Bombyx mori: one gene and its partner. The protein of the gene in region 1 interacts with the protein of each later gene in a biochemical or structural test. Links are inferred from orthologs where the notes say so. Each region holds a gene or a part of one and is shown on either strand. Other genes may lie near its edges.

Region 1 (2,619 bases):
AATTTTGAGTTAACTTATACTATGTCGAGAACATTAAAAAGCTCGCACTAAGCCACACAGATGTAGAGTTGTCGTGGTCGCAGGCTGGTGAGCGTGAACGAGCGCGTGTGGCTGGGCTGCGGCGAGGAGACGCACGCGTGCGGCGCGGCGGCGCGGCTGCTGGAGGCGGCGCGCGCGCACGTGCAGCCGCTCGCAGCGCACGTGCGGCGCCGCGCGCTCGCCCGCTGCAAGGACCTACACGAAGCCGCCCTGTCCGCGCTTCAGGTCCGTACTTTGTGACTTATCTTTTAGAACTAACGAAGACGCCTTTCAACCTTTTGTAAATCATTATTTTAATTCGATTTATCAAAAAAGAATTTGTCGATAAATATATTGTGTTAGTATTTTTTTTTTATCATACCTATGCTGATAGCTTTGAGAGGCTATTTCAGCTTCACCCTAACGTGTAGGTGAGCTCACGAGGCTCGAACCGGAGTGATGCTAACACTGACACTAGCAAGAGCAGTGCTTCGCAGAATCTACCACCGAATCCAAAACGCGACCCACTGAGAAGATCCGTCGAGAAATTCAGTGGGCTGTGTCTATTATGGTTTAATTCGCTCGTCGAGCCCTTCGTCGCAAGCGACGGGTTCGACGAGGACGGTGACCTGGTATTAGTAATGATATAATAAGTAATGGTATGTTTATTGTCGAAATACATTGCTTTGTTTATTTATGCATATTTGAAAAGTCGTGGTGTTTACTGCTAAAACGAATATTATGGGGAGTACAAAAGATTCCTTGCAACTGTCCGGGCTTGTTGTGAACGGATTCATGCAGAAGATGTAACTCTCGCCTGCTAATCTAATGATTCCTTTGTTTCCTTTACATTTACATTGTCACATTTGCCAATATATTACAGAAATGTATTTAATATGTCATTGTTAACAGGCTCGTCCCAACACACAACACCTGATAGAAAGGTTGTCAGTCGCACAGGCGCACCTAGATCGTATGGATTAATGATAAGTTTTTAGTTATTATTTTCACTGAAACATTTTAGTATTTTTTTTTAAATTCTGTTCAGTCTGATTTCGTCACCTTTTTTGTTCAAGACTGATATTAATATATTAACATGGATTTTTAATTTTTATATACTAAACAATGTACGTATACTTTGGGCAAATATTCATTAAAATATATCTAATATTAAGTATCCCATCTATAGCTGAGCGTCTTTGAGTAAAGCACAGAGATAAAGTTTACAAATGAATTTAAGCATTGGTTACTAATTCAAAACACAGAGTGATAGTTTTCATATAACTTTCACTTATTTTTAATATTGCCTCTTAATTCGCCTGTTTGTACTATGTTAGGTTATTAAATGTGATGAGAGCTTAATTTCTTTGCGTGATTGACATTTTACCAAAAACTGGTTTCAATAAAATATTTCTAATTAGCTGTATTATTCTATTTGTTAGTAAATAAAATCAAAAACTGTTGACTGTTGATAAAAATAAATATTGAATAATTTGATCATAAATAAAAACATGGAATCTTGCTTGTTTATTTTTTTATTTCGTTTCATTGGTACAGTTCTCAGATATAACTAATAACATTTTAGTGTGCACAAATATTTAGACTATACATAATTAACTGGCAGAATTGTTTGTTCCGTTGGCAGTGATAATAACATTGAATTATAATGAAAATGTTTTGTACCGTATAATGTAATAGTCACGGTTATTGTTCCATATAATATAATACCTCATTTAATCATGTATTTCGAAAAGTGATCTAGTTTAATTCTTAACTGATTTTGTGAAGAAAAAAAAATGTTTCTATTTTTGTAAATAAATATTTATCGTGTAACAATATTCGTTTCATTATTAAATCTACTGAATAGTGAGATCTAGATTATTGGTAAAAGGTGTAAGATTCTCTCATCTTCATTACATAGTATCCCTATGTATGCTTAAATCTTTAAAACTACGCACCGGATTTTGATGCGGTTTTTTTTAATAGGTAGAGTGATTGAAGAGGAAAGTTAAATGTATAATAAATAACATTCATTAAATAGTGGAGAAATCAATAATAAATTACAGTTTCCGGAGCGAAGCGATGGCGGGTCGCTAGTATCGAATAAATTAAAATCCTAAAAATGATATTGAAATCGTTGTTACTAAAAAGTACATAATGCTATTACAGTCCGCACTCTCTTGGGGTAAAATAAGCTTTGTAAGTGGGTATGACGCTAGCGGTTCCGAGAGTGCTCGGCGTTTCCTTTAAAATTAAGAATTCGTTAAAAAACATTCGACTATGATGAATCGTCTTCAAAAGGATTAGTATTTACCTGGTGCCCGCGGTGGTCGTCGTCAGGATACGTGTACACGCTCGCTTGCGTCGCGCTAATTGTCGGCACGACTCCGACAGTGTTCATTGACGATATCGCATCGTTGTACTGTTGATATTTGACTGGCTCCTTTCCGGTGGAGTTCTTCTTTACGACCGTCGTGTATGTAGGCGTGGCTTTCGGTATATCCCGGATCCTGGTTGCGGCCCTGTAGGTCCCGAACTCGTCCGGCGGGGGCGGCAACGAAAATCCGTCGGACGTTTGAGTTATTTCGGAAGTCTCGTCGC
Region 2 (4,557 bases), on another chromosome or scaffold:
GAAATTTTGAATCTGGTACCGTCCATCTCTATGAAATAGTAATCCATGGCAGCAACTAATCGTTTGTCTTCATCGAGTACCTCAGCCTAGTTGGAATGTTTAATAATAAATTTTAAGCCCTTCTTATCGGAGCAAGTAAGTCTTTCAAGTAATTACTACTTATTACACTGATAAATGAATTTTAATGCAAAAACTAAAATTTGTGTTTTCTTAAGAGAGATCAACTCACCAAGGTGAAAAGGTAATATGACGAAATTTACTATACAAGTGTTGTAGTTTTAAATGTAGGAGTCTTCTACAATATTGAAATTACAAAAAGTAATTACAAAATTGAAACTTTACGCATACTCGTTCTCATGGTTGAGGAGATGTGAATTTAAATATTTACAAATCATAATTACCGTGTGCATATTGATCAAGTAGCCAGTCCTTTCTTTTAAATCTCTCACTCGATCGAAACCATACTTTGAGTCAATTCTGTCATTCTCCAGAGCGGCACGAATTCTAGTTTCCGATGACTCTTCCCTTATAACATTAAGTTTAACGTTAAATTAATATCACAAATGCATTAACTTTATAAATGTTCTTTCTACACTTACTTGAGCCCACCTGAAGAAGTTCCTTCTCTTCTAGCAGAATCATCTTTATCGGGTCGGTATTTTCCAGTATTTTGAAGCACCATGATTAAAAAAGTACCTCGCAATATTAAACTAATCACGTACCATTATTATCCAAGATAATTTAATAATATTAAAACCTCCTTGTAAATTCCTCAAAATTATTTTGTATCAACAAATAGATTCAAACAGCTGACCAATAACAATTCAGAGCTTCTGCAGTGACACTTAAGCGCTGTCAAATTTCCCGCGAAATTGATTTTACTTTTCGAACTAAACAGACGACCAGAGACAATTTTTTTCGTGCAATTTTTCCTTATTAGGAAAAGAAAGGGATCTAAGCCCATACAGCCTTGTCTATTCTATATACGACAAATATTTTAAATTGAATTTTTTTTGATGAGATTCAATTCCATTGTTTTTCATTCACTTCAGTACGACTATACGTAATTATGTTTTGATTGGCGTTTTTTATGAAAAAACAGACATAAATTATTATATTTTTACTTAATTTTGAAAAGAAAAATATTTTCGTAAATATTTAAAATATTATCGTCTTAAAGTATATTGTATAGGTTCTTCTACAACCAAGGTGGTAATAATAGGCATTCGTAACATCCCTTTATAATATGCCAACCACTTTTTTAGTTTTTATTCTAAACCCAAAAATGTATAACACAAGAGTTCAACGTGCAATCTAGCCCATAGATACAGCTCGCTGAGTTTCTCTTTGGATTATAGCTGGGAAAGTCCACTGAAAAAGTCTCAGTAAATGACCACCATTTTACTGAGATTATATTTCATTATCACATTTGTAAATTTAATTCATTTTTAATCATTTATGTTAAGTCCTGATTAGTTTCCGTTCTTTTTCATAATTTATAAACTGTAAATAATTAAAACGGCGAATTGTAAAAATCTTTTTACTTGACGCTGGCTTATGCACAAACCGTGCCGGAGCCAAAAAATAAAGAACAAGAAGTTTATGGTCTGGTAAAATGGTTGTACAATGCAGGTGCAGGTGTATAAGTAGTAATATGTACATTTACAAGTATTTTTAAGGGATACACATGAATAGTACAAAGAATTCATCTTACGACAGCTACAATGATAGACTTGGAGAAATTCTCAATAGAAGCATTACTTCGAAAATGAGAGATTCTAGTATTGACGAAACTTTAGCGGGGTTTGGCAAATTAAGAATATCAGCCCTTACTAAAGCCGTTGAATTAAGTCCTTTAGTAAAAGAAGCGACCATAGGACCTAACAGTCCTGCAAAGAAAGAATTAATTTATGAAGAAAAACAAATCCCCGCCAAAATTGAACCGTTGCCAGAGGACCTTGTTGAAGATAAGCTCCGAGGGGATCTCGGTTATAATCTCATAATGAAAGAATGTGAAGCACAGTTGCATCAATTATCAGTGGAATTTTTCAGAAAATCTTTTGAACAGATGATTTGTAAAAGGGCGGAAATAATGAACAAATGCTTTCAGAAGTATAGCGAACAACGTGAGCGCAGAGACATGAAATACCATAAACGGAAACTACAGCTACAGAAGGATTTTCATGAAAATGACAATTTAAATGTATTAAAAATAGCCAAATTAGATGAACAGAACAACAGTGCAATGATCAACAGGCAGACAATTGACAATATGAATAGAATCTTAGAAGAACAAAATAAAGCCACAGCTCGATTTGCGGCAATAACTGACAGTCATACTAAAATATGCATCTGTTATAATGAAATCACAAACGTAATAGCTTCGGAGCCTCTGTCCCAACAGGTTTGTGACAAATACATACCGACTATCAAAACAGTCATTTCTAATATTAGTGCTATCATGGAACTTTGTAAAAATGCATCTGTTACCGACAAAGAGGTAAAACAAGCAGAAATATTATCTTTGAACTTAGAAAATGTACTAAAAAAGATTTTAAATGAAATTAATGAAATTAAAGAAAAGGAAAGGATTTTGAAAGATAATGAAAGGGAATTATTGAAATTGAAAGAAATAGAAGAAAAGAAAGCTAGAGAGTTGGCTGAAAAGGAAGCGCAAGAAACAAAGGTTCCTGAGGTGACAAAAACTGTTAAAATAGTTCGTCCTGATAAAACAAAGGTCAAACCCATGTTCTACTCCAGTAAAAACTACAACTATTTTAAAGAGTTAAGCAACTTTATGATAAGTTATGAAGCACAATACAGTGATTTATTAGAGAATGTAAACATGAAAAAGTTTAGATTTGACTGCCAAAAAGCTGTGAACACTCCAGTGAATGCATTGTCTTCAGTTAGTAGTACACACATGAAGGACAAATATGAAAAGCTGTACAAACTACTCAAAGGAGAGAGTGTTCAAGTGTTAGACATATATTTTACTGTAACTCAGCATCCACATGGAGTGGCATACTGTACAGCACTCTTAGCCAAGAAAATAGTGAGGCAAGGGGAGTTATTGGTTTCAAGTCATCCTGAAGCTGCATTCCCATTAGCAGCTGTAGTTATAGCACTTTGGGCTTCTTTCCCAGATTTTGGAAAATTATTGCTAGCCAATTTTCACAAGCAGTGCCCTTATTTAGTTCCCATGTTTATGCCCCAAAAAGAAGGTCAAACAGATAAGGAATTCTACTTGTCTAGAGGGTATACATATAATGATGAAGGTGTAGTTGAAAAACAAGATAAATTCTTGAAAAGAATGTCAGGTATCTTTAGACTCATCTGTGCTATTTGGATAATGAGCACCCCCAAATTTATAAACATACCTAACCCCCATGGATTACAATATGGATGGCAGTGGCTTGCATCTTTCATCAACTTGAAACCAGAACCTGATATATCTGCCACTCTTCTTTATGATTTCTTTACAGTGTGTGGGTCTAAATTTCTCTTACATTATAAGATACAGTTTATTAAGTTAATAAAATTAATTAGCACAGATTATTTGGAAGTTTTACAAAACATTGATGAAGGAGGGCCGAAAACAAGACTGGAAGTACTCTTACAAAACATACTGAAGACCGGACACATTGATCCTCCCAGTGGTTTGTTACAATCAGATATATGGTGAACATCTCTCAATTATTTGTAAATTTATCCAATCCAATTATGAAATATTGACAATAATATCAATGATAGTGCATGTTTAAAAGTGTTATTATGTCGAACGAGTAAAATAAAGTGAATTGATTTGAATGTATTTCATTAATTATTTAAGCTGTGTACTCATTGTGAACAATCATAAACTTAAATTTGACTGTAAATCATAATAATAAAATTTCTGCCTACTTATGTTTTAAACTTTTTCAACAATGCACTGAAAATATTCAATTAATGTGAATTAAATGTTATCCAAGAAACTCTCTTTAATAATCCCCATCATTTTTTACACGCTTTGACTGATGACTGATCTCTATTGATCTTTCTCAATAACTTAATTTTTATAAACAAAAAATGTATGAGTATTCATTACTCTGGTTTCATTTTCTTCCCAGGATCAAGAGGAATATAAATATGATTTTGTTTGGCTCGGTGTTAACGCTTTTCGTTAAACTTTTCGCTAACCTTACAGTTTATAAACTATTTATGGTGATGGATTTAAAACAATAAGTGGCCTACTTCATCATGCGTTCGTCATTCAGTCAAACTCATCAATATGACTGCTTTGATTTCTTACTATATAACGTAGCCACCTCTTTTTTTTCCTATCTATTCGCTGGTACCCTAAGCCTATTCAGACAATAGTATTATTTGGCTCAACAGTATATGGCTTGCTATATTGCAAACCGATACATATCTAGGCAGCAAGATCATCATAATCCCAAATGCATAATTAAACATTTTTTCCATATTTGTAAGATTTGCTTACGACCTCATACATATTTGAATTTATTAAAATATGATCTTTGCTGGGTTTTTTTTAACTCAAAACCCAAATCATTT

The links.
Region 2: the proteins of nuclear pore complex protein Nup154 (region 1) and mRNA export factor Gle1 form a complex in vitro, tested with the Homo sapiens proteins (2 studies listed by BioGRID). The link is inferred for Bombyx mori from reciprocal best matches to the Homo sapiens genes NUP155 and GLE1.

Annotation. Positions count from the first base shown.
Region 1 is NC_085116.1:9,157,958-9,160,576, reverse strand, and holds the end of nuclear pore complex protein Nup154, read left to right. Parts: intron 1-83; coding exon 84-264; intron 265-930; coding exon 931-1,002; 3' UTR 1,003-1,854; downstream 1,855-2,619. Other genes in the region: neural cell adhesion molecule 2, read right to left, coding at 2,182-2,262, 2,333-2,619.
Region 2 is NC_085131.1:3,947,251-3,951,807, reverse strand, and holds mRNA export factor Gle1, read left to right. Parts: upstream 1-1,423; 5' UTR 1,424-1,687; coding exon 1,688-3,685; 3' UTR 3,686-3,974; downstream 3,975-4,557. Other genes in the region: DNA polymerase epsilon catalytic subunit 1, read right to left, coding at 1-86, 402-525, 600-682. UniProt on the Homo sapiens protein: Required for the export of mRNAs containing poly(A) tails from the nucleus into the cytoplasm. May be involved in the terminal step of the mRNA transport through the nuclear pore complex (NPC).